4 linked regions of the Saccharomyces cerevisiae S288C genome follow. The protein of the gene in region 4 binds, or shares a complex with, the protein of the main gene of each other region. Each region holds a gene or a part of one and is shown on either strand. Other genes may lie near its edges. A codon is read from its position in the direction of its gene.

Region 1 (5,630 bases), on a different chromosome or scaffold from region 4:
GGCCGGATGATTCATCCAGTTTTCAAAGAGACAGTTCAAAGAAAAGCTTCAATTCTCTTTGGGAAAGCAGTTACGAACTAAAACCGCCACCTTCCATAAGAAAGCAACCTATTGCCCCCGACGTCCTGCAAAAATTATTAGAATCAGATACTAAAGATGACGCAGATTTGGAAAAAATTAGAGAAGAGCGTATAACTGAACCAAGGACTGGTTTGGGGATTGGAATGCTGAAAACACCAGTTAAGGATGTTTCAATTGCGCTAGCTGCAAGCATTAAAGGATATGAGGCAAGTTTCAGCGATACTGACTCTCGTCCAGAGGGCATGAATAATAGTGATGCCATCACTTTGAACATGTTCGACGATTTCGAAGAAGATAAAATGACCCCTTCCACTCCAGTTCGTAGTATAAGTCCAATAAAACGGCATGTTAGCAGTCCTTTCAAGGTCGTGAAAGCTGGAAACAAACAAGAGAATAATGAAATAAACATTAAGGCTGAAGAGGAAATAGAGCCAATGACGCAGCAAGAAACCGATGGTTTGAAACAAGATATTCCTCCACTGCTAGCGCAGACAAAAGATAACGTCGAAGCAAAAGAAGAAACGATAACTCAACTTGAAGAACCACAAGACGTTGAACAAGAATTTCCGGATATGGGAACACTTTATTTAAGTATAAAGGCTATTTCCACGCTTGCATTATATGGAACTAAGAGTCATAGAGCAACATATGCTATTGTTTTTGACAATGGGGAAAATGTCGTTCAGACACCCTGGGAGTCGCTTCCGTATGACGGTAACATCAGGATCAATAAGGAATTTGAATTGCCCATAGATTTTAAAGGAAAAGCCGAAACATCCTCCGCTTCTTCTGAAAGAGATAGCTACAAAAAATGTGTTATCACATTAAAATGTAAATATGAAAAACCTCGACATGAATTGGTCGAAATAGTAGACAAGGTGCCGGTGGGTAAGAGTTTTTTTGGAAAGACAAAGTATAAATTTGAAAAGAAGTATGTACAGAAAAAACCTAAACAAGATGAGTGGGATTATCTATTTGCACAAGACGGTTCATTTGCTCGTTGTGAAATTGAAATTAATGAAGAGTTTTTGAAAAACGTGGCATTTAATACCAGTCATATGCATTACAATATGATTAACAAGTGGAGTAGAATCGCAGACAAAATTCACGGCTCAAAAAGGCTGTACGAGTTACCACGCAAGGCGCCTCACAAAGTGGCTTCGTTGGATGTGGAAGCATGTTTCTTAGAAAGAACTTCTGCCTTTGAACAATTTCCCAAACAATTTTCATTGGTCAATAAGATTGTTTCCAAATACAAGTTGCAACAAAATATCTATAAAGAAGGGTATTTATTGCAGGATGGTGGTGATCTGAAAGGAAAGATAGAAAACAGGTTTTTCAAACTGCACGGCTCGCAACTTTCTGGTTATCATGAAATCTCTAGAAAGGCTAAGATCGATATTAATCTGTTGAAAGTCACGAAAGTCCTACGTAATGAAGACATCCAGGCGGATAATGGAGGGCAAAGGAATTTTACAGATTGGGTACTCTTTAATGAATGCTTCCAGCTAGTATTTGACGATGGTGAAAGAATTACTTTCAACGCGGAATGCTCTAATGAGGAAAAAAGTGATTGGTACAATAAGCTCCAGGAAGTTGTTGAGTTGAATGTTTTCCATCAACCCTGGGTGAAAAAGTATTGTGAAAAGTTAGCTGAGGAGGAAAAGACTCGAACAACCGGTCATAATTTGAAGCAAGATTTTAATTAGAAGGTGATTAATGGAATGAAAACAGCATATAATCTGATGACTGAGAGGTCTTTAGTTTAAAGATTAATTAAATACACATAATAAGAGTAAATACGTGAATCATGGACGATATATTTTTATTTCAATTTCACAGATCCCCATTCATTTCGAATTTTGATTTTGATTTTGATTAGGCTGTTGGTTCATGGGTGGCATCATACCTGGCATGGGGAATGGTGGAAAGCTACCAAACATAGGTAAGGGTGGGAAGCTTGGATGCATTGGTGGAGCGGGAGGGTTTGGTGTTCCAGACATACTATTACCCATATTACTGTTCAGATTAGACATATTTGCATTGTTTACGTTGTTGTTGTTATCAATTATATTACCGAGGTTTGAGTCTGTATCATTCGCGGAATTCAACTTCCCTTGCTGTTGGAGGGATAATAGGCCCATTAGGATCCTCCTAGGATTATAATCTTGTTGTAGTTTTTCCTGTCTATGTAAATACTCCATCCAGGTAAATTCGTTAAAACCGTAATTGAAATAATCACTTAAGTTGGCCCCCGGTTGCCTCCAGGGTTTCTCCTTTAATACTTCAGGATCTATTGTCGTTATGCCAACACTATCAAAGATTCCCTCTTTATCCAGGTCTATAGAACCAGTCATTGCTTTCGGTACATTTCCATCGCTCTCTGTAGCTTTTACGGTCGTTGCCGTTACACCTTGATTTGCTTCTCCTTCTGTTATTAGTCTTTCATCTGATGTCTTTGTGATGGTATTGGATACATCTGTAGCTACGCTAATTACGTCTTTGCTTGAAGATGTCGCTGCGGTAGAATAAGAATCGAGTAGTTTTGCATCTAACCTAGTAGGGTCAGGACCCAGACTTATGATAACCTCTAGGTCAGAATCACTATCGTCATCTGAGGAGTCAGAGTAGATATCTTCATCAGAACGATCATCTCTGGCAGTAGCTGGAGTTTCTTCCACGGGAGAGTCGAATTTTTGCCTTTTAACTATATCAGGATTACTGGACGCACCTGCGTCTGCTTCATCATCTCTTGATCGTTTAGATGAAGGTAGTGCTAATTCGGAGTCGGAACCATACAAGAACTTGTCGTCTTCGTCTTCACTGGAGCTCATTTAGAGAAATGCTAATAATTTTAGTGTAGGCAAAAGGAATAAGAATGCAAAGCACGATGGTGCGGTTTAACAAAGTGAATTTGGTGATGTACTCTCTCAAGATTTATGTCGCATTATTCGCTACGAAGGTTTTTCAAGATTAAAACGAATCTCCTTTCCCATCGCGACATACGATAAGGCTAATAACGCTACGGTATTATGTCATGGAGCTTGAGACATTGAATACATATATATACCTATATATAATATATATATATGCAAATACACAAATTCTTAGCAATTTGAGTGAGACAATGGAAATAAAGAAATGAGTGTGAATGGATATATTTTGAGGGAAGGGGGAAGATTGTAGTACTTTTCGAGAATTAAGAATAGGTTTTACTAAACTTGTAGGATATTTCTTGAAACCTGACCTTGTCATAATAATCTTGATCATTAGAACTGCTGAAGGAGTAAGCCGCAGCATATCTTGACAGTTTGGAGTTCAACTTTTTTAGGAATTCTAACTCTTTTGAATTTAATTTTTGTAGTGATGGCGGTGGTGATTTTTCAACGTCGAAGGCAATTTCTAATGGGTAATAGTAGGAGGGCACCTGAGGTTCATCTATAAATGGATCTGCCTCATATACATTATCGGAGGCGTTGTTATTATTGCTGGTATTATTATAGTAATTACAATTAGTGCTTTTATGGTTGCTATAGTGACGATTATTAAAGGAATGTATGTTATCAGTATGTGGTGGAAACTGATCTTGATATTGGGAGTATGAATCCGTGTTTTTTGAATTTATTGATTCATGAATATTTGTGGGTTTTGAATAGGTATAATTAGTGGTATATGGGTAGAAGTCTTGTGTGTATGGGAATTCATTGAATTCAAAATTTTCTTGGAATATTTTGATATCTTTTTGTGCATTTGTATTAGTTTCATATTTTATTGTGTCACTAATATCGATATCATCTCCATTTCTGTTGCTCTTTTGAAAGTTATCATGGTTATTGAATGATGAGTGGAACGTAGATGCGGATTCATCATTAGAAAAAAGAGATGATAATGAAGAGGATCTGGTACTTTCAGAGCTCTTTTTTCCTCTTTCAGGACCAGTTGCCATTGTGCAGTCCTTCGTAGTTTTCGTTTCCTTGGAAATAGGCTGAGAATCAATATTTTCCAAATTCAGAAACTCTTCATTGAACAATATTTGAGGATTAATTAAATGAATTGGTTGTGTATGAACCAAGTTCTGCAGCTGAGATGAGGCAATTTTGTCAGACTTTTCAAAATGCCAACTTCTAGGGGAAATTGTAGATCCAAAAGAAAAACAAGGACGGTCTTCTTGATCGGTGGTTGTGTCATAATAAATGTTAGGTTGTTGTTGCTGTTCAAAAGGAAAGAGGAAGAAACCATCTTCTAAGGCAGCGTGAAGTTTTCCATGCATATCCGCTTGCATTTTGTTTGTGGGGAGAGGAATAGAAAAGCTTTTCTTTTATTATTTTTTTCCTTTTTCACCAGTAATGGGTGCCAGTAGGAATTTGTTTCTCTGTAGGTGACTAATGACAGTAGTATATTATGCTTTTAATCTTTAACAATACTACTGGTCGATTTATAATATGATAATGTAAAATAAATCGTAATAGGATAGTCGATGTTTGTATCTACTTCACGAAACAGTTATGGTATACGGTAGTTTAAATATCTGAAGAAGCAAAAATACCGAACTACAAGGGAAGCATTTTGAGAAAAATATTAAGATCAAAAGATAATTAATTTACCTTAAATACATAAAAGAGGAAAAGTAATATACAAGGTAAACAACAGGCAAGGAACAAGATCAAAAACGTCCGACCCCAATTTAGTAGTAAATTACAGTAAGAGAAAAAGGTATTGGGGCTGATACATATTAATTGTGCGTTGTTGTTGTTGTTTAATTTTAGATTGGCTATTATGAGTACACACAAAACGTTGTAAACGCAATCACCCATGGATAAGCGCTCCCTTTAAAATGCACTACGAAATCATTGATCTACTAACTTTAAACCGGACTTAAACCATCAAAGGGTGCTCTAGATCTCATCGATGTATTCTGATGCAGCCAAAATTGCGCAATCAATCACGTTTCCCGATATAGAAAACTAATTGGCTGTGTTACGTGGCTGGGGGTTCTGTAATTCCTTTCTTCCCCGGTGAATCATCAAGATTGGGCTAAGCGCCTTTGATCCTTTCCCTCGAAGACGGAAATGGGGCCGCAGGATAAAAAATGGTGTGTCTGTAATTCCGATTTTTTGCTTATGTAATCATGTAACTTTCTTCTAGTCCCTTTGCAGACATGCATGACACTTCCTTACCCGAATAGTGAGTTAGATCTGTGTTAGGATGCAGGATGGGCAGTTCAAAGGCTTTTCTTATCGTATCTTTACCTTTTCCTGTAACTAAGAAGGTTTTTGAGTGCATGTAAAGGCACATAAATGAAACTTTAATTCCCTGCGTATTTAAGACCCAAGAAGCCACCATGACGCTTCCTTGATGTTGTATCTACCCCCAATCCTGGCGCCCCCTCCTGCGGGCACGCATGCGCCTTTGATCCTTCCCCTCGAAGACGAAAAGTAAACAAAGATACGCACTTTTTTTCTCCAACGCAGTATTGAAGGTACCATCACATGCTTACTCACTTTGCGGCTGCTATAACACCGTGGCAGTGTAACGTTTTACCGTTTGTC
Region 2 (5,828 bases), on a different chromosome or scaffold from region 4:
CTGGATTGTTAGGTTGAACTAACGTATAAAATTAGGGGATAAAATGAAGAAAAGAAGATAAACTAATCAAAGAGGCAAAAAAAAAGGTCCTTTGAATCAAACTCTACTATATTAGTTATATTTTGAAGATTTGGTGTGAACTCTTCACATGAGAAGGGAATAAAAGGGAACACAGTGGAAAGAATCTGTATTTTCATATGCCTACTTATAAATTCACATGTGTCGGAGATCCACGTTATCTAACATTTGAGGTTTTGCCGTTTCTGGCATCGCCGTTCATTTTCACAGTTTTGTGTGGAAAACTTCGCGAATAATGAATGCGGCATGAGAAAAGTGTGGCAATTGACTGTCTTGACCAATTTAAACCAAGGCAAAAATATATATTTAACAAGGCAAACATTTAATGTTGGAAGTTTAGTGCCGCTTTTAGTGATAAGAGGTACAGATGCAAGAACCATCTAATTAGGTGTGGTTTTCTGATACGCTATGGCTCTGATTACTTAGATTATATATTCTTTTCTAAAGTTTTCCACCATAAGTTGCTGGTCACTTGGTAAACTTTGGATCTGGGCAGGTGTCAAAGTAAGAACTTGTTTGATCATATCTTGTTGGTTTTCAGGTAGTAATTGCAGTTTCGCCATATTAATGGTGCCGCTGTCATTCGCTTTATTCGCGTTAGAGGGTCCTTCTGTAGAACTTATATTTTGTTGCTGGACCTGGCCGAGTTGATTTGCCAACACAGGCTGTCCCATGGAGGGGCCTTGAGCTGGAGGCATGAAAGGGCCCGGTGGCGCAAAACCGAACGGTTGTTGTTGCAGAGGTAAAGGGATAAATGGTGGTGTCGACATAGGCATTGGCATAGCTACGTTCAGTGGCATATTGTTAGGATTGTTGCTGACTTCATTAGAAGGTACATGCAACGGAGTGTTATTTCTAATTACGCTTACGGGGGTGTTCGAATTACTTGTGTTATTACTCGAAAGCAAAGATGGGGCCTCGCCAACTTGGGATTTCAACACTTTAGTCACCACGCTGTAGTCTATAAATCCCATTTCTAGTAGGGCTTGGGTCACTGATATTGTGATATCACTGTTAGTATCTAAGAAAGATTCTAATTGCGATTTTTGGATGTTTTCTTGGTTTGATAATATTTTCAAATTTGATATAATTTCAATAAGTTGCAACGGCGGAATTTTACTTAAATTTTGTGAAATTTTGTCTGGTGCAATAATCGAGCCATCTTGGAAACTTGGCAAGTGTTTAGATGCTTTACTTAGTATGTCGGGGAATTGAATGTTTGTGTTATTTGATACAGAGTTTGTGTTATTTGCAGCCTGTGGTGGCGGTGGTCGCCTAGGAATGGGGACTTCTGTCACCATTTCGAAAGGTAGCTCCAAACCCGCCTCGAAGGGGTACGAATCTCTATTAAGTTGTAATACCTGCTTTTGAGAATTTTTATTTGCTGTTTCTCTAAGATGGTCCTTATAATTTGGTGGGATTATTTGCTCTATCTTTACGGGAAAGTTTTCAATTCTATTTAAAATTTCCCAAGCGCGTTTACAATCTTTACTAGTCAAATAATCGAACAGTACACCGGTTAGTTTACCAGTTCTCGGGTCATTCTTAGCTTTTATATCTATAACTGGACCAGAACCGGCCACGACCGAAGTAATTATATCTTGGTTCCATTCTGGAGGTAAGTTTGTGATTTGTAATGTAGAGGATAAATTCTCCGGTGTCAAGAAATGACGGCCTGTTCTTCTTCTGGGATCTGTCATCAATTTTTTTCCTTCGTTCTTCGTTCTTCGTCTTCTCCAGTTGTGAGTTTTCTAAATATACCTATATATAAAATAATAAAATCTAATCAATGCAACGTGTTTGACAGTGACGTTTACAGATAGGACGACCGGATGAGCGACTGAAAAAGGTGCTATTATGAATGCACGGTTTCGCAAGACCTCAAACAATCGTACTAGTATTTCTGAAATTCTGCTTTACTGCCCGACCTTTCCAACATGTCGCTGTTTTTTTGTTTTTCTTCAGAGTCGGGTAAGAGCAATAAAGTGAAAAGTTAACAGATTCAAACACTGATGTGATGCATGCATGATAAGGAATTTGTAAAAATAATAGAACAATGCTGCTTCGTATAGGCGCTATTTAATTAAGTAGTTATATAAAGAGAACGGTGCAATTGAATAGGAAAGGAATGACGGATTTTGCTTCTATGTTTGCTTTTATTTGAAGCGTGGGTTCTTATTTATGCTAAGTAGCTCAGTAAATCCATCTTAGTAACGATATGGATTGGTTTCAAGCCATCAGTGATAACGGCAGATGAGTTTTTTTCAAAGAAACGATTCAAGTCAGATAGCTTTGAGTTTTCATCGAATTTAATAAACTTCTTCTTACCGGATTTATTTTCGTTGTAAGAGGAAACATCATTGAAATTGTTTAATTTCTTGAAGTCCAAGTATTTACCCTTTATAGTGTTGTCGTTGTTTGAATTATTGATTGATAGTTTTCTTAGAAGCTCAGAGAGAGTAACTAAACCAGACAACTTGCCGTCTTCAGTCAACACAGGCAATTGGTCAAAGCCATTGTCTTTTAATATCTTGATAACATCAGTGACCTTAGCGGTTTCCTTAACGGAAACAACCGGTTTCAAGTGAAGATCCTTTACAGTAGCGTTACCAAACACATCAGCGTATTTTGTCGTCGAAGCCTCCAGCTTTGAAGAGTCAAAACGGGCCAACACGTCATCATCCCACAAATTGTTCTTTTTCAACCATTCGTCATCGACGAATTTGGTTAGGTACGACCTGATGGAATCTGGGAATATGGCAACAATGACATCATCTTCAGTCAGTTCAGGGTGGTCTTCACAGTATTTCACAACCGCAGTGAAGGCAGAACCGGAAGAACCACCCACCAAGACACCTTCGTTAGAAATCAATTGTCTGGCGTATTTGAAAGAAGGCTTGTCGTCTGTCTTATACCAAACATCAATTAATTTTCTGTCCAAAACCTGAGGAACAAAATCATAACCAATACCCTCAACTTTGTAGTCAGTGATATCAGTCTTATTCAAGTTTTCAGGTTGGGCTAAAATTGAACCGAATGGGTCAGCACCAACGATTTGGATCTTATCATTCTGTTCTTTCAAGTACTTGGAAATACCGCTAATAGTCCCACCAGTACCAGCACCAGCAACAACAGCGCGTAGATTATCAAATAAATTCAAGTCTTCTAGCTGTCTTTGGATTTCGCGACCAGTACCAAAGTAATGAGCTTCTGGGTTCATCATATTGTTATATTGGTCAAGTATAACAGCACCAGGAATCTCTTTTTCCAACTTCTTAGCAACACCAATATGTGATTCTGGAGAATCCCAGGCAGCAGCAGTTGGAGTTCTGATGATTTCAGCACCCAGAGCCTTTAGGACAGAAACTTTCTCGTTAGACATTTTTTCCGGCAAGGTGATGATAGTTCTGTAACCTTTGATGGCGCCGATTAAAGCTAGACCGATACCGGTGTTACCAGAAGTAGGTTCGATCAGAGTAGATCTGGAAGGATGAATTCTACCGGAAGCTTCAGCTTCTTCCACCATAGACTTGGCAATTCTGTCTTTGATGGAACCACCTGGATTGTATAGTTCCAGCTTAGCATAAATTTGTGGTTTGATACCCAAAGCCTTAGGCAATTTTTTCAGTGCGATCAATGGGGTGTTACCAACTAAGTCGATAACGTTATGTCTTGAATCGGCTTGCTGCTCAGATTTAGTCATTTTTATTCTTACGTCGTATTTATCTAGATGTCCTTTGAGCAAGTGGCCTACAACGAAATCTTCAAGTGTTGCCTTTTACTTTGGCATAGAAGCATCACGACATTTATATATACAAGCCTGGTGAAGTGCCTTGCGTTTACTTTAACCTTTAGGAGAAAAAAATTTTCGGTGTTGGTTTCTTTTTTTCCTTTCGGTGCAAAACTGTGGAGGAAGATGGCAATAAATTAGTGAAACGGTAATGCCGTGTGGACTGCATATGCCGGATATAGCATTTATCAGTCACGACAGAGCTGATTATCCTTACTTGGGTGAAGTTGAAGTTGTTGTGATAAGGTTAGAATGCAAATGAAGCTTTGTCAGCGCTGAGAAAGAAAATTTTGTTTTGTGAGCCACTACTATCACGTGCCATTACCATTTTAATCAGTTATGAAATAGGGGAATGTGTCATTGAGGGAAAATGTAATGGCCACCAAATGAATCAGAGGGTCGGATGAGAACACACCCTTACTAACTGCTGTTCATATCTCACAGTTGCCATTGATAAGCTCTGGTGGGAAAATACCCTTGATTTTTGGTAGCACATATTGACATAACAAAAGTCTTGACTTTGCCAATTGGAGAGATGGCCACTTATAGAGGAAAATACTCGTAAAAATAATCATAAACAGTAAGCCATGTCAGTATCTTACAAGGGAACAATTTCTAAGACACATTCTGTTTTTAAACCAGAAAAAGGAAGGTATTATATTTACGGGGCCCTTGGGTGTCCATTCACTCATAGAGCCATTCTTGCCAGGTCTTTGAAGAAATTAGAACCTGTTCTAGGGCTTGTGTTATCTCACTGGCAATTAGACTCCAAGGGTGCCCGTTTCTTACCTGCTCCACACCGGCCGGAAAAATATAAAGAGAGATTCTTTACTGCCACTGGTGGCATTGCTTCAGCTAAATTAGACGAATCTGAGGAGTTAGGTGATGTGAACAATGACTCTGCAAGGTTGTTCGTGGATGGCGCTTTCGACCCGGTGGAAAATATATCAAGGTTAAGCGAGTTGTACTACTTAAATGATCCTAAGTACCCCGGTACAAAGTTCACTGTGCCTGTTCTGTGGGATTCTAAAACAAGGAAAATTGTTAACAATGAGAGTGGCGATATCATAAGAATTTTGAACAGTGGCGTGTTTGATGAATTTATCCAAAGCGAAGAAACGAACGTGATTGATCTAGTTCCGCATGATTTAATAGACGAGATTGATAAGAACATCAAATGGGTTCATCCGAAGATTAATCTTGGTGTCTATAAAGTCGGATTAGCAGAAAACGGAAAGATTTACGAAACTGAAGTAAAAACACTGTTTGAAAACTTGCAGAAGATGGAATGTGTACTAAAAGAAAATTATAAGCGCTTAGAGGAGCAATTCAGTGGTAACAAACAGAAAATCTTGGCTAAATATTTTGTTTTAGGACAGAGGTTAACTGAAGCGGATATCAGATTGTATCCATCAATAATTAGATTTGACGTCGTGTACGTGCAGCACTTCAAATGCAATTTGAAAACTATAAGGGATGGTTTCCCGTACCTTCATTTGTGGTTGATTAATCTATACTGGAATTACGCAGAGTTTAGATTTACTACAGATTTTAATCATATTAAGCTCTTTTACATCAGGATGGAAGTAAGTAGGAACAAGATCAATCAGTTTGGTATAGTGCCATTAGGCCCAAAGCCTGACATTTCTAGATTATGAAAACTTCTAATATTTTCTTACACACACATATATTTATATGCATGGCTATACTTCAAAAGAGGTTGTCACTTCCATTTCCATGTAGGTAAAACTCGTGTATAGACGGAACACAGACTTCCCTAGTTTTATTGACTTCATAGTCTCTGCACCATTCAATTATGTCTCTGTAAAAGAGACTCTTCTTTATATCGCCCTTTTCTATATTCTCCATCTCCAGTTCTTTGAAGCATTTTGCTTTTCTCGATTTATGACAACCACACGGTTTTACACTCTCCTCTCCATGTTCTACCATTTCATGCCTC
Region 3 (6,685 bases), on a different chromosome or scaffold from region 4:
TGTCAATATTATTTACAAAAATTAATGTTTTACCCTTGATTAAGTTAAGTTTAAAAATGACATAGCATAGTAAGAATTTGTCAAATTCACTGACTTTAACGTAATATTGAAGTAATTTGTTTTGGTTCTTATTTATTTCCTCGTCATTGAATTTAAGAATAGCTGGAGAACGACAAAATTTTTGTTTCAAAGCCTGTATATCGTCATTTAGGGTTGCACTCATCAAAAATGTTTGTAAATTTTTTTTCAATGGTAAGTACTCTCCAATTTTGTTTAAATCATCTTGATAACCAAATGTTAACACTAAATCCACCTCATCAACTACTAAAAATTTTAGTTCGTTCAATGAGATAGAATTAATCTTTGTTTGCAACAAATCCAATAATTTACCAGGTGTACCAACTATGATTTCTGGTTGATCCATAAGTAGAGTGCTCAAAACTGAGTCAGACATATCGGATGATATGTTCAGAGTTCTTATATCTTTTGAACAATATAAGACTAGTTTTTCTAAAACATTATATACTTGTTGAGCCAGTTCTCTTGTTGGAACAAGTATAATACCTAGTGTACCATTTTCCTCTCCGTTATCAATTGTTTTTTTATATTCTAGGATAGTTTCAATTACAGGAATGAGGTATGCCAAAGTTTTTCCGGAACCTGTAGCGGCCTTTGCTATAATATCTCTCTTCTGTTGTAAAGCCAAAGGAATAGCATGTGATTGAATTAATGTTGGGTACTGAAATCCTATATTCTTAATAGCTTGTAATAAACGAGAGTCGAGATGAAATGCTTCGAACGTTGTAGAATCGTCAATATAAGCGCCTTCCACAGACTTTTTCTCATAGCTCATTTTTTTGATCTTTCGTTGCAGTTTTGGCTTAGTCTATTTCTTTTGTGAGATAAATTGTAGATTGACTATAACTATCAGCCAAAACAAAAGGCTCTTACTCAATGAAAGAAATTAGAAGAATCGAAATGAAATGAGATGAGATGAGATGAGATGAGATGGTCTAGAAGAGTTATTCTTTATGTTCGTGAAAAAAAATTTTTAAAATTTCATCTCTAGGTTTCATTACGTAAAGAGTGATTAAGGTAAACAATAAAAGGCAGTTCTAACCAGATTTTGGTTTGGTATTACTTCTATAAAGTAGTCTACTTAGTATGCGTAACTGTTTTTAACATAGCGGTGTGACCAAATTACCACCAATATTTAAGAGGCTTTCCACCCTACCTTTCAAAGGATTTGAATTACATTCTAAAATTTTCATATTGTTGAAGTCAATCTTAGCAGTGCTTTTACCTATGGTAACCACTCCAGTTATAGTTTCCTCTTTATTACTTGCATATTCATCTTTATTGAGAAATAAAGTAAAACAGTCACCAAACTGTTCTTTAAACAACCTTGAGATTTGCTTCACCCTCTCAACTTCATCAATCTTACCTTGTGCATTAGACTGCACATTGTTATGATCATGATCATCACAAGAATGACTCGAAAGCTTGACACTGGCGGGAGCTGAATCCACATTCATAAGTATAGCAATAATGGAGTCTGCTACAGTGTCATTCATTAAATCTTGAGTCCATTCCACAACGGCTAGAGTATTAACAATAGTTAACTTAATATCACCCATTATCTGTAGAATCAATTTACCTGTATTGGTCAGATTGTCTTTTGACTCTTCTTTAACCTTTGGTTCTTGATTTGTTACTCTATCATCATCTTGAAGAACTTCAGCCTCTCCAAACATTTGTAAAATGTGCCAGTAAATTAGCTCCTTTTTACAATTTACACGAACTGACTGGCGCTCTCTTAATATCGTTGTAGAAAGATCGGGATGGTGCTCTCTTAAATCAGACAAAGAAAGGAAGTCTAATTCGAAATTTTTGTCATCTGAAACTAGAATCCCAGAAACGACTATGTCTTTGTGTTCCTCTTCATCAACCAAACCTTTTTCTGCTTGAGAATCCAAGTTGTCTTCGTTTTCTTCCTTTATAGGTTCAATTTTAGCCGCAATTTCTTCCTTTATCTCTACGTTTTCTTCTTTATATATTTCGTTCACAATATTTCCCACAGCTTTTGCAACCTTGACACCTTGAAATTCAAGATCTACTTCAACACAGTTTCTAGGATTAAAAACATGGACTTCATTATCTGTACCCTTTAAAGACGCGAAATTGGATAACAATGCAGATTTCAAACGGCCCATGGGATTGGCTTCTCCATGAACAAGGATGATATTTGGCGCACTAATCTTTTCAATAAATTCTAAATTTTCCTGGAAGTCAACGTGTGCGGCAAAGGAGATTTCTTCAACTTGACAACGTCTTGGAATGGTTATTTCCGGATTATTTATGGAAGGTATTGTATCTGGCTCAAGCATAATAAATTTCGCCATTGTTCCTTCGATGGAGTAACCGGTGATTAGTACTAGATTTTTATCTTCAGGGCACCACCTTTCAAGTAAATCTCTTGATAACCCACTTTGCAGCATACCTGGTGAGGCCAACATCACACTGGGACCAAAATCTTGGAAATCCTCCAAGTTTCTAAGATAAGATATATTTTTGAATATGAAGGGATTAGTCTGAGAGTCTCTAAATTTTTTTCTAATGTCATCATTCATCATATTTACATAGGTTTGAAAAACGCTCATACATTTTTTTGCCAAATTTGATGCATAAAATATTGGGACTTGTCCACCACCGAGTTCATCAGCATGTTGAGACCAGTACTCATCCAGTATAAGCATGATTTCTTGAGCTCTCCCTAAAGCAAAAACAGGCAGTAGAACACGGCCTCCTCTCATCACTGTGGAATGGATTAGTTGGGTTAGCTTCCTTTCTCTATTTAAACGGGGCTCGTGAGTAGCGGTACCAAAGGTAGATTCCACAATTAATACGTTGGATGAAAGTGGAGGCACCTCAGCAGAATTTAAGTGACGATCTACTTCTCTCGAATAGTCACCTGTGAATAACACCCTAAGGCCAGCAATCTCTATTTGAAACATCGCTGCACCCAATACATGGCCTGCATGGAATGCCGTAAATTTGATACCATTGACGTCAACAGTAGAATGATAGTCCACCGTTTCAATTTTATCGAAAGAATCAACTAAATCCTCATCTGAGAATAGACCTTCGTCTTTAGTCCCCATAGAGGAGGATGAAGAACCTATACTAGTAACTCTTACAAAATCTCGCAGTAGCCATCTGTAAATGGCTTTGGTTGGATGTGTCATGAAAACTCTGCCTTGAAAGTTAGTCCGTTGCATCACATACGGAAGTGAAGCGGCATGGTCTAAATGGAAATGTGATATCAGTAAGATATCGACTTTGGAAAGATCAAATTCATCGTAAAAAGGTAATGAAGCTAATCCTTGATATGCCGGATGAATTCCTGCGTCGAGCATCACTGTTTTACCTTTATATTGCAATATATGACATGATCGTCCAACTTCGTTACTTCCTCCCAATGAAAAAAATTTGAATGTTGTTGTATTTGTTCGCTCCATATATGCGTATACTTATTAATGTTAACTTATTATGTTACTTTTTATTTCCTCAATGGACAAAATTCAATTGATAATACAATGTTTCTTTTGTGCTGTAACTTTTGAAGTACTGAAAACAAGGGTAAAAGAAATAAACGCTTATACCCGTGAACATTTTGAACCTATTAGATGTGATCTCAATATGTATTGCGCTGAAGCAGTAGAAGTTGTTAAAGATCCGCTAGTTTTTCATAATTTTCGGCCAGAATAACTGCTTACCCGTATTTATTTGCAAACACGCTACTTAGTCTTTTGGAGAGGACTTTATACAGGAAAGAAAGAGTTTTATTGATTTTAAAAACAATATAAATGAAAGAAAAAAATGTGTTTTAGATTAGGCTTATAAGATATGACCCATATCATAATTAAAAAAAGCGATTTAGTTGTTCTTTTAAAAAAAAAGAGAAAAAAAAAAAAAAAAAAAAAAGGAATGAGTTTGTACATACTATTATATTAATGTAGTATCACGTTAAAAAGCCGTAGTCATCATTAATCGTCCAAAAGTCTTCTACCGGACCAGATGTCATCATGTTATCCCAGTTAGAACGCTTTTTCCTGATGTCTGCGTTAGTTACTGTAGGAATAACATTGTCGAAATGCAGATTTGCGCTAGTGTTTGCTTCCACCTGTGTTTTAGGTCCATTCTTCTCTGTTTCGTCAAGATTATATTGTACACCTTCCTGATTGGACATCATGAACAAATTTCTGTTATACGAAGGGTCATTCTGCGTCTGTTGAAAATTATTAGCGGTTACATTGTTTTCAGAACACATATTTTGTTGTTGATGTTGTTGCTGCTGTTTGTCCATGGACAGAGATGAAGGCTCTTGACTCTGGGGAAATATTGTTTGTAGTATGGACTTGCTATTCAAAGCATCTAGAACGGAGTTATTGGTCCAGGTGGAAATATTGTTGATCATGTCATGAGCACCGTTGCTGAAAAGTATATCGCCCGAAGAAGAGCCATTTCGAGCTTGTTTGACACTGACCGGAATTGAATTGCTAGTAAATGACGCTGGTATCGAGGAGATAATATTATTGCCATAATCTGCTCTTAGGGGTGATGTACTGAAATTTGATTCTTCGACATCTCTTAATTGCTTATTTTCACTTGTATGGTTAGAGAATATTGCAGATTGTAGAGGATTACTGTTGATCATACCATTGTTTAATTGATTCGTAAAATTGCTTTCTGAGAATCTTTGTGGAGAAGTAATATGTTGTTGTGGCTGCTCCCGCTGTTGTTGCGGCAGTGGTCGTGATACATGCTGTTGCGGTAGCATATTGGAAGTTTGAGGATATGGAGTTGGGCTTTGCGTCATCGCTATTGGAATCGGATCCGAATGCGAAGAGGCTGTAGATATGCTAGAAGATTTTGAAGGACTTCTATTGGTCATAGTATCGGTGTTCAGGGACGATAGATACGCTTGTAAATTGTGCTGAGCTAGTTGCTGTTGTAGAAAGGCCTGCTGTTGAAATACTTGCCAATCAAACTCTGTTTGGTTGGTTGGTTTCTTGACGATATATTGGTCTTGAATAGGCCTTTCTACATCATTTTCCATAGTTACGTTGTTGTTACGAACATACTGGCTGTTGTTGCCATTATTGCAGCTGTTGTTGGTAGTGCTTCTGCTATTACTTTCATTATCATTATTATTAACATTATTATTATTATTACTATTATTATTATTATTGTTATTATTATTATTATTATCATTATTATTGTTGTGATTATTGTTGTGTTCTCTGTTGACGCTGCTGATGGTCATACCATTGTTATCATTGTTTACATTGATTTTCAGGTTTTTTTCTTGGGAAGAAGGAAACGATAATGTCGACGATGATGACGAAGAAGAAGATGATGACGAAGAAGATGTTGTATAAGACATTGAAGAATTTGAAATACGTGACCTGTCATCCATTTTGGTTAATAGGTGAGCTAAACTTTTGGGTACAGAGGTCTTTTCTAAAACACCTTGCTTCTTCTTGAATTTCTCTTGTTCAGCCAAATCCACTTGTGAATTTTCCACAAAACCGGCGTGCTCTTCAGCTTGTCCTTTACCAAATATTCTAGCCACAGCAGGCGGCATACCGCCATTATGAGATATATTTTTATCGTTTGAATTGGATAGATTAGCTGCATTTGCGGAGTTAGAATCATGAAGAGTATCCCCAGATGAAATTGCCTTATTGGCCTCATCATTGATGTTCTTGGGTTCAGTACGCTTGGCGACACTACTAGCCATGAAAATTAACTCAGAAGAGTCTGGACCACATCTTTCAATCAAATTACCTACCGTGGCATTCATTAACTGATCGAAAGTATCTCTAAAGGTTCTTGCAAAATTAGACCTTTCTGTCATAACATATAAACAAACGGAGCAAGCTCTCAAATCATCCATCGTCGAAAAGAGACTTGCACTGATTAAAGGTCTAGTATGCTTCGAAGCATCGCCTAATTTCTTCCTCCTTTGATCGTCAAAATTCCTGGCTAACCACATACAGTAGATTAAAGTTACGCCAGCTACAAAAACCGTATGCACTGCTGGTGTAGAATGACCATTAAGCGTTTTTTGATGGAATATCTTGTATAACTGACAAATTTGACCCGCAGCAGCTTGACATTCTCTAAATAGTCTATCCTCCGGGGCGAAAAATTCCAAATATGGTTGTATAAGCAATCGCACTGATCTATAGTAATAAAGTTTTAGTGTCTCGTTTTCGAAATTTTTCACGTCAAGAGTGGAATAACTTTTTCTCCAAACTTCCAAATCTTCAAAAAATTTTCGTACTAGGGGCAATTGATCAATGGATTGCTTCACTGACCTGGAATCGTTTTTCAATAGCTGTAAAGTCTCTACAAATTGAGATTCAATTCTTCGCAGCTTTAGAGACTGATTGATGAATTGCACACCATGGTCATTGGTTGATGGAGCCGCCGCATGCACACCTTTTGTATAAAAAGAGTCGTTATTGAAAAGAGGTAAATTTATTTCCGACTCCTTGATTGTATAAGGTTTCCCCACAGCAACACAAATCATTCTTTCCAACAGGTAAACACACCAAAATAGTCGCAGTTTCTTATTTGCAAATGGATCATTAGGATACCATTGATTTAGATGAAGTTT
Region 4 (5,926 bases):
AGCCTGGTATATTTTGGAAAAAGGATTTCATCTCTGCAATCAAATTCGATGGTTTCACAAGTATAATTTCCCTAGAATCTCTTCACCAGTTACTTTCCATACATTATCGTATTACTTTACAAGTATTGTTAACATTCGTTCTGTTCGATCTTGATACCGAAATTTTCGGACAGCATATATCTACATTATTGGATTTGCATTATAAGCAATTTTTATTGTTAAACCTTTATAGACAAGATAAGTGTCTGTTGGCGGAAGTTCTTCTCAAGGATTCTTCTGAATTCTCTTTCGGTGTCAAATTTTTTAACTACGGCCAACTCATTGCCTATATCGATTCCTTAAACTCTAATGTTTACAATGCTTCCATCACTGAAAATTCTTTCTTTATGACGTTTTTCCGCTCATATATCATTGAAAACACATCTCATAAGAATATAAGGTTCTTTCTCGAGAACGTTGAATGCCCCTTCTACTTACGCCACAACGAGGTGCAAGAATTTATGTTTGCCATGACGTTATTTAGTTGTGGTAATTTCGATCAATCCTATGAAATTTTTCAACTACACGATTATCCGGAGGCTATCAATGATAAATTGCCGACATTCTTAGAAGACCTTAAGAGTGAAAACTATCACGGTGATAGTATATGGAAAGATCTTTTGTGCACCTTTACAGTTCCATATAGGCATTCTGCATTCTATTATCAATTATCTCTCTTATTTGATAGAAATAACAGCCAAGAATTTGCTTTGAAATGTATATCTAAGTCAGCAGAATATTCATTAAAAGAAATTCAGATTGAAGAACTGCAAGACTTCAAAGAAAAACAGCATATTCATTATTTAAATCTTTTAATCCACTTCAGAATGTTTGAAGAAGTCTTGGATGTTTTGAGATTGGGTCACGAGTGTCTTTCCGACACAGTAAGAACAAATTTTCTCCAATTATTATTACAGGAAGACATATATTCACGAGATTTTTTCAGCACACTTCTGCGCTTGTGTAACGCACATTCAGACAATGGCGAGCTATATCTTCGTACAGTAGATATTAAAATAGTGGATAGTATTCTGTCACAAAATCTACGGAGTGGTGATTGGGAGTGTTTTAAGAAACTTTATTGTTTTAGAATGTTGAACAAAAGCGAGAGGGCTGCTGCAGAAGTACTGTACCAGTACATATTAATGCAAGCTGATCTTGATGTTATTCGAAAGAGAAAATGTTACCTAATGGTCATCAACGTTTTATCTAGCTTTGATAGTGCATACGATCAATGGATTCTAAACGGAAGTAAAGTGGTTACTTTAACTGATTTAAGAGATGAGTTACGAGGTCTATAGTGAATATATAAACTGTAAATTAATACTTCATTTAAAAAATTGATCAACTCAAATCCGAATATTAGCACCATGATCTTCGTTTGTTTTTTAAGTAAAAAGATTGAACTTTAAATCTAAATTATTATTACATGAATGTACAGACAGGAAAAATAAAAAACAAAAACAGAAGAATCACAAGTTCCCTAATATAAAAGAATACAAAACATTATTTCATGACACTGTTCCTAGAGCTTGTATTAAAAGCGGTAGAAGAGAGGAGATAATAGAGAAATTTCAATGTAACTATTGGTCAACAAAGCATCCGGGCATATAGCATAGATATTACTCGCTCTTTTTTGAGTTACATGCCACAATCCTCAACTTATCCACCGAAATTACACTTTGGCTATCTCCAGACCCGTTCTGGGAGGCGTCGCGGTGGCTGTCCTCAACAGTAACCTGACAATTTTTTACGATAAAAGTCCAAACATCATCGCAAAATCCATATGTGTCCAGGTTTCCTTTCACAGTCAATTTAGATTGGGTATTGTCTTTTAAAGTCTCAGCCACCACTTTGTCAAATGTCTCTAAAACACGCATAGCTAACGACGCTTCTATTCTCCCATCACTAATTAAAGTATCAAGAGCATCCACCAAACTATTCCCTATAGTACTTCTACGATATAATTCGTAATACCCGGGTACTGCCATTTATCCTTACTGTTATCTTCGATAGCCTGTGTCCCCCTCCTAACCTCTAAGTGCATCTTCTACTTATTCCTTATTCGGTCGAATATTTCACAAAGTATTCTAAGGCGTTAAGAAAATATTGTTATTAGTAAAATTAGCTTACCCGGCAATACAACAATAATGAAGCTAACATTATGTTGTATTGACAATTCAGTTCATGTTTGACATTTGCCTAGCAGAAGACATTATCTGCCATGCAACCTGAAAATTCATAGAACTTTTGGAACTTATTTATCTATCTTTCTTCAATTTCTTTGGTTAACACTTTTTTTTTATGTTTTTTTACGTTTTGAGATCATAAATATTTGGAAATATAAATAATCACAAATTCATAACAACTCTTTTTTTAGATAAAGTAAAAACACAGTTATGTATGTAAAGTATTTTAAAACATAAAAAAGGATGATCGACTTGATATATTCATTATCATGTAGTGTATAAGCGGTAAATATAACTACCTTAATCCATTGCTGGTGCAATAACCTTCCTTATGCCATTATATTATGTCACAACATTGTAATTCAGGCGGGTAACTTTACTGAAAGTTAATACAATGATGATGAATATCAAGCATATTGTTAATAACCAAGTTTATGGCCAACATAAAATAAGCAAGAACAATCAAGAGGGTACTGAAATTTCGGTAGCTCTCATCATATCGGCAGAGACTGGAATAGTGTAACATGAGTAGCACGATATTTTACCGCTTTAAGTCTCAACGAAACACATCAAGAATTTTATTTGATGGTACCGGCCTGACAGTATTTGATTTGAAAAGGGAAATTATTCAAGAGAACAAACTAGGTGACGGCACAGATTTCCAATTAAAAATTTACAACCCAGATACAGAAGAGGAATACGACGATGATGCCTTTGTTATACCTAGATCTACTAGTGTCATAGTAAAAAGATCTCCAGCAATTAAATCATTCTCCGTACACAGTCGACTTAAAGGGAATGTGGGAGCAGCAGCTCTTGGGAACGCAACAAGGTATGTTACTGGTAGGCCAAGAGTGTTGCAAAAGAGACAACACACTGCTACAACCACTGCTAATGTTAGTGGTACAACGGAAGAAGAAAGAATTGCTAGTATGTTTGCCACACAAGAAAATCAATGGGAACAAACGCAAGAAGAAATGTCTGCAGCCACACCTGTTTTTTTCAAGTCACAGACGAATAAGAATTCTGCACAAGAAAACGAAGGCCCACCGCCACCAGGTTATATGTGCTATCGTTGTGGGGGTAGAGACCACTGGATTAAAAATTGTCCAACTAACAGCGATCCAAATTTTGAAGGAAAAAGAATCAGAAGAACCACAGGTATTCCAAAGAAGTTTTTAAAATCCATTGAAATAGATCCCGAGACAATGACACCGGAAGAGATGGCTCAGCGAAAGATTATGATTACGGACGAAGGCAAGTTCGTGGTACAAGTTGAAGACAAACAATCATGGGAAGACTACCAAAGGAAAAGAGAGAACCGTCAAATTGATGGTGATGAAACCATTTGGAGAAAAGGCCATTTCAAAGATCTTCCTGACGATTTAAAATGTCCCTTGACAGGTGGTCTTTTGAGGCAGCCGGTAAAGACAAGCAAGTGCTGTAACATAGATTTCTCAAAAGAGGCGCTGGAAAATGCACTGGTAGAGAGCGACTTTGTATGCCCCAATTGCGAAACCCGCGATATCCTTCTCGATTCTTTAGTACCCGACCAGGACAAGGAAAAGGAGGTCGAAACGTTTTTGAAGAAACAAGAGGAACTACACGGAAGCTCTAAAGATGGCAACCAGCCAGAAACTAAGAAAATGAAGTTGATGGATCCAACTGGCACCGCTGGCTTGAACAACAATACCAGCCTTCCAACTTCTGTAAATAACGGCGGTACGCCAGTGCCACCAGTACCGTTACCTTTCGGTATACCTCCTTTCCCCATGTTTCCAATGCCCTTCATGCCTCCAACGGCTACTATCACAAATCCTCATCAAGCTGACGCAAGCCCTAAGAAATGAATAACAATACTGACAGTACTAAATAATTGCCTACTTGGCTTCACATACGTTGCATACGTCGATATAGATAATAATGATAATGACAGCAGGATTATCGTAATACGTAATAGTTGAAAATCTCAAAAATGTGTGGGTCATTACGTAAATAATGATAGGAATGGGATTCTTCTATTTTTCCTTTTTCCATTCTAGCAGCCGTCGGGAAAACGTGGCATCCTCTCTTTCGGGCTCAATTGGAGTCACGCTGCCGTGAGCATCCTCTCTTTCCATATCTAACAACTGAGCACGTAACCAATGGAAAAGCATGAGCTTAGCGTTGCTCCAAAAAAGTATTGGATGGTTAATACCATTTGTCTGTTCTCTTCTGACTTTGACTCCTCAAAAAAAAAAAATCTACAATCAACAGATCGCTTCAATTACGCCCTCACAAAAACTTTTTTCCTTCTTCTTCGCCCACGTTAAATTTTATCCCTCATGTTGTCTAACGGATTTCTGCACTTGATTTATTATAAAAAGACAAAGACATAATACTTCTCTATCAATTTCAGTTATTGTTCTTCCTTGCGTTATTCTTCTGTTCTTCTTTTTCTTTTGTCATATATAACCATAACCAAGTAATACATATTCAAAATGGGTGTTGAACAAATCTTAAAGAGAAAGACCGGTGTCATCGTTGGTGAAGATGTCCACAACTTATTCACTTACGCTAAGGAACACAAGTTCGCTATTCCAGCTATTAACGTCACCTCTTCTTCTACTGCCGTCGCTGCTTTAGAAGCTGCTAGAGACAGCAAGTCCCCAATCATTTTGCAAACCTCTAACGGTGGTGCTGCTTACTTCGCTGGTAAGGGTATCTCTAACGAAGGTCAAAATGCTTCCATCAAGGGTGCTATTGCCGCTGCCCACTACATCAGATCCATTGCTCCAGCTTACGGTATCCCAGTTGTCTTACACTCTGACCACTGTGCCAAGAAGTTGTTGCCATGGTTCGATGGTATGTTGGAAGCTGATGAAGCTTACTTCAAGGAACACGGTGAACCATTATTCTCCTCCCACATGTTGGATTTGTCTGAAGAAACCGATGAAGAAAACATCTCTACTTGTGTCAAGTACTTCAAGAGAATGGCCGCTATGGACCAATGGTTAGAAATGGAAATCGGTATTACCGGTGGTGAAGAAGATGGTGTTAACAACGAAAACGCTGACAAGGAAGACTTGTACACCAAGCCAGAACAAGTTTACAACGTCTACAAGGCTTTGCACCCAATCTCTCCAAACTTCTCCATTGCTGCTGCTTTCGGTAACTGTCACGGTTTGTACGCTGGTGACATCGCTTTGAGACCAGAAATCTTGGCTGAACACCAAAAGTACACCAGAGAACAAGTTGGTTGCAAGGAAGAAAAGCCATTGTTCTTGGTCTTCCACGGTGGTTCCGGTTCTACTGTCCAAGAATTCCACACTGGTATTGACAACGGTGTTGTCAAGGTCAACTTGGACACTGACTGTCAATACGCTTACTTGACTGGTATCAGAGACTACGTCTTGAACAAGAAGGACTACATAATGTCCCCAGTCGGTAACCCAGAAGGTCCAGAAAAGCCAAACAAGAAGTTCTTCGACCCAAGAGTCTGGGTTAGAGAAGGTGAAAAGACCATGGGTGCTAAGATCACCAAGTCTTTGGAAACTTTCCGTACCACTAACACTTTATAAGTTAATTCAAATTAATTGATATAGTTTTTTAATGAGTATTGAATCTGTTTAGAAATAATGGAATATTATTTTTATTTATTTATTTATATTATTGGTCGGCTCTTTTCTTCTGAAGGTCAATGACAAAATGATATGAAG

What was found.
Region 1: MPE1 (region 4) and FIP1 share a complex: the UniProt entries of both Saccharomyces cerevisiae proteins name them as parts of the cleavage and polyadenylation factor (CPF) complex.
Region 2: MPE1 (region 4) and PTI1 share a complex: the UniProt entries of both Saccharomyces cerevisiae proteins name them as parts of the cleavage and polyadenylation factor (CPF) complex.
Region 3: the proteins of MPE1 (region 4) and YSH1 are in contact, whole or in part, in a crystal structure (PDB 6I1D), measured with the Saccharomyces cerevisiae proteins. Residues at the interface, in NP_012864.1 of Saccharomyces cerevisiae: Phe9 (codon at 2,777), Lys10 (codon at 2,780), Ser11 (codon at 2,783), Gln12 (codon at 2,786), Arg13 (codon at 2,789), Asn14 (codon at 2,792), Asn38 (codon at 2,864), Lys39 (codon at 2,867), Leu40 (codon at 2,870), Asp45 (codon at 2,885), Phe46 (codon at 2,888), Val74 (codon at 2,972), Lys75 (codon at 2,975), Arg76 (codon at 2,978), Ser77 (codon at 2,981), Pro78 (codon at 2,984); in NP_013379.1 of Saccharomyces cerevisiae: Arg22 (codon at 3,455), Tyr44 (codon at 3,389), Leu47 (codon at 3,380), Ala48 (codon at 3,377), Leu50 (codon at 3,371), Pro51 (codon at 3,368), Phe52 (codon at 3,365), Tyr53 (codon at 3,362), Asp54 (codon at 3,359), Glu55 (codon at 3,356), Tyr79 (codon at 3,284), Gln82 (codon at 3,275), Arg83 (codon at 3,272), Thr84 (codon at 3,269), Asn85 (codon at 3,266), Asn464 (codon at 2,129), Cys465 (codon at 2,126).

Annotation. Positions count from the first base shown.
Region 1 is NC_001142.9:601,289-606,918, forward strand, and holds FIP1 (cleavage polyadenylation factor subunit FIP1), read right to left. Parts: upstream 2,916-5,630; coding exon 1,932-2,915; downstream 1-1,931. Other genes in the region: BUD4 (Bud4p), read left to right, coding at 1-1,790; transcription factor IME1, read right to left, coding at 3,281-4,363. UniProt on the Saccharomyces cerevisiae protein: Polymerase-regulating component of the cleavage and polyadenylation factor (CPF) complex, which plays a key role in polyadenylation-dependent pre-mRNA 3'-end formation and cooperates with cleavage factors including the CFIA complex and NAB4/CFIB.
Region 2 is NC_001139.9:796,496-802,323, reverse strand, and holds PTI1 (cleavage polyadenylation factor subunit PTI1), read right to left. Parts: upstream 1,779-5,828; coding exon 501-1,778; downstream 1-500. Other genes in the region: cystathionine beta-synthase CYS4, read right to left, coding at 2,258-3,781; GTO1 (omega-class glutathione transferase), read left to right, coding at 4,456-5,526; YGR153W (uncharacterized protein), read right to left, coding at 5,579-5,828. UniProt on the Saccharomyces cerevisiae protein: Component of the cleavage and polyadenylation factor (CPF) complex, which plays a key role in polyadenylation-dependent pre-mRNA 3'-end formation and cooperates with cleavage factors including the CFIA complex and NAB4/CFIB.
Region 3 is NC_001144.5:695,978-702,662, forward strand, and holds YSH1 (cleavage polyadenylation factor subunit YSH1), read right to left. Parts: upstream 3,519-6,685; coding exon 1,179-3,518; downstream 1-1,178. Other genes in the region: DBP9 (ATP-dependent DNA/RNA helicase), read right to left, coding at 1-853; YLR278C (uncharacterized protein), read right to left, coding at 4,022-6,685. UniProt on the Saccharomyces cerevisiae protein: Component of the cleavage and polyadenylation factor (CPF) complex, which plays a key role in polyadenylation-dependent pre-mRNA 3'-end formation and cooperates with cleavage factors including the CFIA complex and NAB4/CFIB. Has endonuclease activity.
Region 4 is NC_001143.9:326,270-332,195, reverse strand, and holds MPE1 (cleavage polyadenylation factor subunit MPE1), read left to right. Parts: upstream 1-2,752; coding exon 2,753-4,078; downstream 4,079-5,926. Other genes in the region: NUP120 (Nup120p), read left to right, coding at 1-1,340; TOA2 (transcription initiation factor IIA subunit gamma), read right to left, coding at 1,662-2,030; fructose-bisphosphate aldolase FBA1, read left to right, coding at 4,709-5,788. UniProt on the Saccharomyces cerevisiae protein: Component of the cleavage and polyadenylation factor (CPF) complex, which plays a key role in polyadenylation-dependent pre-mRNA 3'-end formation and cooperates with cleavage factors including the CFIA complex and NAB4/CFIB.